2 linked regions of the Arabidopsis thaliana genome follow. The protein of the gene in region 2 interacts with the protein of the main gene of each other region in a pairwise test. Each region holds a gene or a part of one and is shown on either strand. Other genes may lie near its edges.

Region 1 (3,987 bases), on a different chromosome or scaffold from region 2:
CCAGAACTTAGAAGCAAACCTTATAGATCATGAGGTGGTAACTGAATCATCATCATCAGCTGTGCCTCAAACCGAGAACTATAAAAGGTGGCTTCGTGTCTCCATATACGTAATCTTTGTCCTCTTTTGCCAGCCACTAGCTACAATTCTGGGTAGATTGTACTATGAAAATGGAGGAAATAGCACATATGTGGTAACACTTCTTCAACTCATTGGCTTCCCTGTACTGGTTCTGTTCCGCTTCTTTTCTCGAATCAGGCAACCCAAATCAACAGATACAAATTTCAGTCAGTCCCCTTCCTTCACCACCCTTGCATCGGTTTACTTGTGCACTGGACTGCTAGTGTCCGCTTATGCTTATTTGTCTGCAGTAGGGTTGCTCTACTTACCAGTCTCTACTTTCTCCCTCATCTTGGCCTCACAGTTGGCCTTCACTGCCTTTTTCTCATATTTCCTTAACTCGCAAAAGTTCACTCCTTTGATAGTCAGTTCTTTGCTTCTCCTCACTGTATCCTCTGCTCTTCTTGTGGTCAACACTGATTCAGAAAACTCAACTAATGTATCTAGAGTACAGTATGTGATCGGGTTCATATGTACCATCGGTGCTTCCGCTGGGATTGGACTGTTACTATCTCTGATACAAATGCTCTTCAGGAAAGTTTTCACGAAGCATACATCCTCAGCAGTCACGGACTTGGCCATTTACCAGTCTCTAGTTGCGAGTTGTGTAGTTCTCATAGGACTTTTTGCAAGTGGAGAGTGGGAAACTTTGCCAAGTGAGATGAGAAACTACAAACTCGGGAAAGTGTCATATGTTTTGACTTTAGCCTCGGCAGCTATTTCCTGGCAAGTCTACACTCTTGGTCTTGTGGGATTGATCTTCGAGTCATCCTCTGTGTTCTCCAATTCCATAACAGCTGTGGGATTGCCTATAGTTCCAGTTGCGGCAGTGATAGTTTTCCATGATAGAATGGACGCATCAAAAATCTTCTCCATTATTTTAGCTATCTGCGGCTTCCTTTCATTCGTCTATCAGCACTACCTCGACGAAAAGAAGTTGAATACTAGCCACACAAGTGCTGTAGGAGATCTTCATCTACCTGTTGAGGAAGGTCACACAAACATACAAAGTGTGTGATCAAAGCATATTTCCAGTATAAAGCCAATGTATCTTTCTTTTTTTCCCCTCAAAGGCCAAAGCCAATGTATCTTTGTACAGTTTGAGCATAAAAAACGTGTAACGCTACTTTGCAAACTAGTCAGTCATAATAGCTAATAAGTTTTGTACATATGATACCAATAATTTCAGAATATTTTTCTTCTATATATACCAATAAGTTTTCTTAAAGATGCAAATGCAATACTCTGCTTTGTAATTTTGCAATGCATTTGAAACACCGAATCAAGAGCAAACAACGAAGTCAGAGAGACAAATAGGCTAAAACAGAGCTTTGAGCAAAAAAAAAAAACAAGTGAACAGATATAATACCCACTTACTTGGAAGCCACTGACATAACAGATAAACAATGTAGTGACTTGCAACAAAACTCCTTAAAATACCAAAAACGTATACTCTAGGAGCTTGGCTTCTTGTATCTTTGTTGACTTCTGATTTAACGTCAATAGACACTGAGGAAAAAGAGTTCTCTTAGAGCCGCCATTCAAAAGTTTTAAGAATTTTAAGTCAAGTGTAAGCAAATAAGAAAGGTCAATGGTCAGCATGAGACTACTAAATTATGATACTGCTGTCATCTATCACCTGACCCATCTTTATTATTATACACAAATTAGTAAAAGTCTGCCAAGTTTGATTAGTGCAACTTGTATCTGGGGTATTTAGTTACTATAATAAATATCATTTTGTGTATAAAGAAAGGTCTCTTCTGTATCTAAAAGACATATCAAACGAAAGAAATCAATAAACACAATATTCTTTCTTCCAAATTTTCTCATTTCTCATGGGCATATCTCAAGTACACTATTGCAATGGTAAGCAAAAGGTACCTGATGACGTTAGATCATTTGATCCTCTTTCGATGAAATATAATAACCACGAGTGTTAATTTTTCAGGTGACCAGAACTTAGAAGCAAACCTTCTAGATCATGAGGAAACTGAATCATTTTCAGTACCTCAAACGAAGAACTGTAAGAGGTGGCTCCGTGTCTCCATATACGCAATCTTTGTCATCTTCTGCCAACCACTTGCTACAGTTCTGGGTAGACTGTACTATGAAAATGGAGGGAAAAGCACATATGTGGTAACACTTCTTCAACTCATTGGCTTCCCTGTACTGATTCTCTTCCGCTTCTTTTCTCGAATCAGGCAACCCAAATCAACAGATACAAATTTCAGTCAGTCCCCTTCCTTCACCACCCTTGCATCGGTTTACTTGTGCACTGGACTGCTAGTGTCTGCTTATGCTTATTTGTCTGCAGTTGGGTTGCTTTACTTACCAGTCTCTACTTTCTCCCTCATCTTGGCCTCACAGTTGGCCTTCACTGCCTTTTTCTCATATTTCCTTAACTCGCAAAAGTTCACTCCTTTGATAGTCAATTCTTTGTTTCTCCTTACGGTTTCCTCTGCCCTCCTCGTGGTCAACACTGATTCAGAAAACACAACAAATGTATCTAGAGTACAATATGTGATTGGGTTCATCTGTACCATTGGTGCTTCCGCTGGGATTGGATTGGTACTATCTCTGATACAACTGCTCTTCAGGAAAGTTTTCACGAAGCATACATCCTCAGCAGTCCTGGACTTGGCCAATTACCAGTCTCTAGTTGCAACTTGTGTGGTACTCATAGGACTGTTTGCAAGTGGAGAGTGGAGAACTCTGCCAAGTGAGATGAGAAACTACAAACTGGGGAAAGTGTCATATATCTTGACTTTGGCCTCAGCAGCTATTTTCTGGCAAGTATACACTGTTGGTTGTGTGGGATTAATCTTCGAGTCTTCTTCTGTGTTCTCCAATTCCATAACTGCTGTGGGACTGCCTATAGTTCCAGTTGTAGCAGTGATAGTTTTCCATGATAAGATGGATGCATCAAAGATTTTCTCCATCATTTTAGCTATCTGGGGCTTCCTTTCATTTGTCTATCAGCACTACCTCGACGAAAAGAAGTTGAAGACTTGCCAGACAAAACCTGTTGAGGAAGAAACACAAACTTTATGAAACAAGTTGTATCGAAGGTCTCAGAAACAAACATACATAGTTGTACACAGTCATGTAAATAACCTATATAAAGCTTGTATGTGTAATATCCGTAATGGTCCATGCAAATGGGATATGTATGTCGCTCATATTTCAGGTATTTAGAACTTTTATTCAAAAGAGTATTGTGTAATACGAGCAGAGTGATAAAAGCAGTCATTTATTTAACAGAAAAACCATGTCAATTTTGTGATACTTTCATTGTGTGAGTGTGAAACCCGATAAAAATTGACCAGTTAGCATAACTTACAGATATGTCAATGCAATATTCTCCTTTCTAGTTTTGAAATGCACCTAAATCTTGGGAAACAAGAACAAACAGCAAATCATGTATAATGAGAGATAGAAGATAATTTGTCAGATTGGTCCAACATCCTTGGGGAAACAGAGCTTTGAACAAAAAGTAAATGACCAGAAATAATACCATTTTATATAGCGACTTCCTCTGCCGTCCAGTATTAAGTTGTTGCGAATGTCTTCTCTTGAAAAGATAGGCGAGACATAATCTTTAGCTAACGTCAGCATCATCTTGATGGCAAAAACTTCATGACTAGCCATGGAAACCGAAGTGTGTACCCAATCCAAATAAATTTAAAAAGACAAATAACTTTTAGAAATGTCGTCCTCATCAAGATCACAGAATACTACAACTTGTGTACACGTTCATACATATGCGTATGCGTGTTAAGTTTCTATTTGTCTATGCGTATGGGGTTCATGTCCTCCACATAGTTGCAGAAGAAAGTCTGAATGAATATTGCCTACACATAATTT
Region 2 (6,188 bases):
ACCAACATATTTAACAATTAGACCCCTACACAAATAAAACTTTATGATACAGTAATCATGATCACGTTTTGTGGACTGAAATTAGGAAATTTAAAAGGGATAGGGACGCAGTTTTGAAATAGACAATTTAATCAGTTTATTTAAATAAAACCAATTTAATAATTTTATAAATTAAAAAGTCGTACCCCAAAATAAACATTTTTAAATGTCAACAACAAACGCAAGCTTTAAATTATTTATTTTTGGAGAAATAACTTGATTGTGAGACCCACTTTTATATTTTTCCTCCATTTTTTTTGTTGTTCTAAAGAGTAAGTTAGGTATTTATGTTGACCAAAAACACTAGCTAAAAGATCATTTTATTCGTTTTTTCCAATCATAAAAAAGAAATTAATTATGTAAATGGAAAATAAAGATCTCAAAATACTACGTGTTTAGGATTAGGAGGTTTGGTGGCTATTATTTTCGGTGACCAATTTAATTATCTGCTTATAATTTAATTTGATTTCAGCTTAGATTCGGTAAGGACTTGAATTATATAATTCGGACAACAAATTAATTGAAATTCGGTTAAGTTATTTTATTTCTCAAAAAAAGAAAACTGGGAAATTACATAGAAGTACCTCAACTTTTAAACGATTTTCACATAAATACTCAAACTTTTTGCTTTACAAGAAAAAGCCCTCACAAAAATTTGATGATCGTTATCGCAAAATTTCCAAATCGTGTTCAAGTTTTTTGACTCTTTGAATTTACTTACAGACAAGAAATCGTGGTTTGTAATGTTAGAAGACTATATATGCTCAAGAAGTAACACAATACAACAAAGTTTCCAAAACAAGTCTAAGACAAAACCTCATCCAAAAGATTGAGAGAATCCAAAAGAGGGCAAGAGAGAATCTTGGCTGTGTGCATATGTCTTCAACATAATCAAAATGGTATATATTATCAGAAAACTCTTTTGTCTTCTTGGCTTTAGTTTTGTACTTTTAAATAGACTGAGAAACTAGAGTTTAAGAGCAATGCTAAAGCTTTTCTCTAGACCCATTTTCACAGGTCCTCCTGTGATGCTTCCTTTCTGCATCATCGCCACAAACTCGTTGTAGTCTATTCGCCCGTCCTACAATACAACAATTCAAATGTTCAACATTATCAACATTCAACCAATATATCAATCCAAAACCGACATGAAAACTCGGTTTACTTCACTGTTTCTCAGGAAAGAGAGTTTCTACTATCCCCCTAGGTTTAACAAGAATCATACTCAATCGTCTCAGTTTTCCCAAGAAAACAGACATGAAAACTCGGTAAGTGAAGTGTAGTTTTAATAATGCAAGGATTTAAGAGGATCATATAAGTGAGATTCCTATGAGTAAAATGTATATAATCCATTGAAATTTGATCATTGTTGAGAAGTATTCAAGTCATTTTATAATTAGGATGAGATGATAAAAGGTGTAAAGGAACTTACATTGTCTTGATCAACATCGCGCATCAGTTCTTCTATGCGGACATCCTCAACACCAAACTCCTCACAAGCTTGTTGAAGCTCGTCTGGGGTGATATAGCCGCTCCCATCTTTGTCAAAGTATGTAAAGGCTGCAAACAAATGGTCCTCTCTCTCTATTTTGTTTAGATGTAATGTTGCAGCTATGAACTCTTTGTAATCTATTGTTCCGCTGTTGTCCACATCAGCCTGAATTATATACACATGAGAGAGAAACCAGATTACTTGCATATCTAGCAAAAACAGAAGTATATAACCACAACCAACAGAGTAAGTTTGAATGATAACAAGATCAGTTCAGAATCTTAGTTAGGGAACTGGTATGCCGGTTAAAACTTACAGCTTGCATCAAGTCGAGAATTTCAGACTCTTTGAGATTCGCCCCTACTCGTTTTAGTCCTGCTTTCAGTTCTTCGAAAGTTATCTGACCACTCTTGTCCGCATCTATCATATTAAACATTTCTTTCAAGCCGGCGATTTCTTCTTCAGATAAGCTCTCAGCAATGACCTGCAAAAAGGCATAAAGAGAGAAACTTAATCTCCGTCGTCTCTTTCTTTCCACATAACAAGAGGAAGATGGGTTAAATGTAGCTATCTTATGTTTATGACAGGAACTTCTTTTATATGGTTTTAAATTTTGTTTAGCATCGGAAAGCTGCTTACTCTAAGAGCCATTTTCTTGAACTTGTTCATTGCAGAAAACTGCTTCATACGGCTCAGAACAGCAGAATCCAAAGGCTTGTCTGGAGCCACACCGTCGACTTGAACCCATGGATGACCTGAGAAGAAGCACAACTCCATAAGAGATAGAACGATGGTAGATCACTCTACATGACAACACACTTTATTCATGTAGTGAAATCTATGCTCAATGGAATTAACAGAAAGAGAATCACAGCGCTTTAACTGGAAGAGAAGGTTTCAGATCAAAATAACTTACATAATACTTGGTGGGCAGTTAACCTTTTCTTGGGATCCCTGACAAGCATTTTCCTCACTAAATCCTTTGCACTTTCAGATATACTTGGCCATGGATCGGACGAAAAGTCAAGATCACCGTGGAGGACCTGTTCGAAAATACCTTGTTCGGTTTCTGAATGTTCAAAGAAACAAAAAGATTAGAGATGTTGTTCAGAGCCTAGTTAGGAAAAGTGACAAATCTCTTATCTGTATATATACAATTCTTACCAGCCCAGAATGGAGGAACTCCGCTTAATAAAATGTACACAATCACTCCAGCACTCCAGACATCAGCTTCAGGGCCATAACGCTTTCGAAGAACTTCTGGGGCAACATAATATGGGCTACCAACAACATCTGTAAAAACATCGTCTGCAAAGAGGAAGGGAATCGAGTTCAGAAATAATTGTTCGACAAGGATCACACTATTCACGTTAAAGACCAAATCTGGAAGTGGATCTTTTAAGATGAGTAACAATGAAATCAAACCTGGTTTAAAGAACATGGAGAGTCCAAAATCAATCGTCTTCAAGAGGGAATCTTCGTGTTTACTGACAAACAGAAAATTCTCGGGCTTGAGGTCTCGATGCATAACACCAAGAGAATGGCAAGCCTCTACAACCCCAACAATGGTTCTAGTGAGCTCAGCCGCTTTCCTCTCTGTGTAGTGACCGCGTTGAATGATCCTGTCAAAAAGCTCGCCGCCTGCACAACACTCCATTACAAGGTGCACTGCCACAACATCCTCATAAGCTCCTTTGATGGAGATGACATTAGGGTGACCAGCCAAGTGATGCATTATCTGAATTTCTCTTCTCACATCCTCAACGTCCTCATCAGTCAATAGCTTCCTCTTAGCAATCGACTTGCAGGCAAACTCCTTCCCCGTAGTCTTCTCGACACATAAAAAAGTCGTCCCAAATTGCCCTTGTCCGAGTTTCCTTCCCAAGGAATAGAATTCCTTGAAGTTTTCAGTCTTCCTCTGCAACACTGACTCAGTCCTAAGCCCTGCACTTGACACTCTCTTCATGTGTTTAGGCTTCTTAGGTTTAGCTGGAGGATCAGGTTTTGACTCCGGCTTGGTCTCTGACTTGGTCTCCTGCTTAGTCTCTGGTTTGGACTCAAGGCTTATCTCCTCTAGCGTTTCAGGCTTGCTTTCAGTTCGAATCTCTCTGTCCTTGGTCTCGACGTCAGTCCCTGGCTTCGGCATTGTGACCTGTTCAGGAGGTTTATTCTGGACTTCATCAGATAATCGAGATCGAAGCTCTCCCGAAACAGCTTCACTTGCAATATCTCCATTACTCATGGAAGCCGAATCATCTCCATCTCTTGGCCGCCACATTGCAGCTGAAACAGATTGCAAGAAGCCATTTCTGCTTGGTCCAACACAAGTATTACCCATTCCCTAACTTGTCTTAAATCTCTTTCACCAGAAATAGCATCAAGATCTGATTACAATAACCTCAAAAACAATCTAATCTCATTACTAATCTGATAAAAGTCAAATCCTTTCGATCTTAAAACCATCAGACATCAAACCTCGGACTTCTCAGACGATTGAATTTCTACACAGCTGAACTGATAAACCCAACTTGGATGAGGAGAAACAGCAGAGAGCTTGCTTATACAGAGGTGAGAAATAGCAAGAAAAATCAAAAGGGTATCGGAAAAATCATGACTTGAAACAAACCCAGAAAATAGAAAGTCACAATGAAGGAAACCAAACAGAGAGTAGAAAGCATCCCCAGATAACAACAACAAAGAAAGAAACAGAGAGATCTGAAGAAGAGTAAAGAGAAAGAATGAGAAAATAAATTGAGTTGGGTGGGAAAATAAAAGGGATAGTTTAATAGCACTACACTTGCATAAACCGTAGGGACATTTGTTAATTTAATGAGAGAGTCAAGGTCTGTATAGAGAAGAAGACGATGAAGAAAGACGAAGAAGAAGATTGAACCAGTTTGAAAAACGCGTTTCTTTTGTTTTGATTATCTATCACCGCCGAGTTTTCCGCTGAGATTTGTCTTAACTCTCTTTTTAATTAATCTTTGATTACAAAGTCCACCACCCTCTTCAATCTTGGCAACGCAGCTTCTTATGTAAGGGTACTTAATTAGTAATATATTAAAACTTTGAGGTAAAAAGGTGATTTTCCATAAAATCAATTTCCTTTCTGGAGTCCTAATAACATCCTTTTTATAATGGTCCCATCATTTACTACTTTTGAAAAATATAACCCGCAAGTGAAAAATGCGCAAACAAAACCCACATATTAAAGAGCAGTCATTAAAAATAAGACATCCACATGTTAAAGCTTGAACAAATCACATGCTCTACACATTCTTGTCTTCGCCCTTATGTTTTACCCTAATTACTCCTTCCGACCACAGCTATTATTGAAGATCAAAACCTAGACCAGAACTAATATTGTAGAGACGGCGAGTTTGGTGTTCTAAACATCATGATCACCACTTTCCATTGTTTTTGCTGGTCCTAACGGAACACTCAAGCACCCTTCCTTTTTCCAGTAGATAAGCCAATGAGATGTCCCTACTGCAATAGAACGGTATGAATCTCTGGACACTCTGTTATTGATTTGATATGGAAAGAATGCTTGCCTAAAACAAAAACGAAGCTCACTATTGTTATCAAGAGATGGTGGTTTGAATCAGTATTTAAGAAGATATGATTTGTGGCAAAGACGCTCACTATGATGTGTATGAGACTTGGTTTGATGTAGTGCAGTATGTTCTGATAGTAGATTATCAATCATCACAACAGCGTTTTTTGGTGACAAAAGTCTGTTCATTGCCTCTGCCACGTCCTGATCAAGTAAACATCCAAGGACCTCCAAAAACAGATGATCCTTATTACAGAGATTCTCAATCTTTTCCGTACTTGTTCCTTGATTGATCCTTTTCACTATGACGAAATTAAATTGACAACTGTTTCCATATCTTGCTATGAGGAACAAAATTTCCTAGTCATGACTATAAAATGAAAAGTAACCTATTCGGCATTCTGTTTATGACACTAATAGAGAACAAGTGTGGGAAAGGGAAATGACGGTATTCAAGTGTGTGTCTTCCATTGACCGGAAAATAAGGTAAGAAAACCCTCACCTTTCTTATCATGTGTTGCGCTTGGAAATGGAAGAATCTCTTTATGCTTCTTTTCGCCACCTCTAAATCCTCCAACTGCATGAACACAATTCTATATCAGATATATGAGTGTGCACCATCAACTAAGTAACAGTCCAAAACCATCTAACTGACTAATGCGCGAAGACACCTACATTGGCTCAATCTTTGGCTGACCAGGTTTTCTGTTCCTAGCATCAAATACTATATTCTCGAGAAAATCCATATTGCTAACACCAGGGATCTCAACTGGAGTTTGGAGACTCAAGAAGAGAACCGCAAGAGATCCTTACATATCATGCAGATGCTCGGCTTTAAACACAATGATTTATGAGAGGGGTACGAGTAGAGATACTCTAGGAATCATATGTTTCAACAACATGAAGATTGAGAAACTTACCTTGAAAAAATGTGTTCATAAGCAAAAAACTTACGAGCCTCAACCTTTCATAATATTAGTTAGGAAATATCAGCAATGATGCAAATGATTCACACAATTGGAATTAGTTAAGCTTGTCAGAAATTTTAGCTAATGCTCTCTTAGTACAGAAATAATATCCAATAGAATCACGGCTAACAAA

What was found. The genes of interacting proteins can lie anywhere in the genome.
Region 1: the proteins of CPK1 (region 2) and AT4G18205 interact in a protein complementation assay, tested with the Arabidopsis thaliana proteins (one large-scale study listed by BioGRID).

The regions. Positions count from the first base shown.
Region 1 is NC_003075.7:10,071,892-10,075,878, forward strand, and holds AT4G18205 (Nucleotide-sugar transporter family protein), read left to right. Parts: upstream 1-1,819; 5' UTR 1,820-1,958; coding exon 1,959-1,989; intron 1,990-2,071; coding exon 2,072-3,174; 3' UTR 3,175-3,479; downstream 3,480-3,987. Other genes in the region: PUP7 (purine permease 7), read left to right, coding at 1-1,138; AT4G18203 (uncharacterized protein), read right to left, coding at 853-1,029, 1,561-1,608, 1,760-1,768.
Region 2 is NC_003076.8:1,416,009-1,422,196, forward strand, and holds CPK1 (calcium dependent protein kinase 1), read right to left. Parts: upstream 4,547-6,188; 5' UTR 3,870-4,546; coding exon 2,957-3,869; intron 2,840-2,956; coding exon 2,696-2,839; intron 2,601-2,695; coding exon 2,448-2,600; intron 2,287-2,447; coding exon 2,171-2,286; intron 2,016-2,170; coding exon 1,848-2,015; intron 1,697-1,847; coding exon 1,472-1,696; intron 1,121-1,471; coding exon 1,007-1,120; 3' UTR 556-1,006; downstream 1-555. UniProt on the Arabidopsis thaliana protein: May play a role in signal transduction pathways that involve calcium as a second messenger. Phosphorylates the Ca(2+)-ATPase ACA2 resulting in the inhibition of its calcium activation.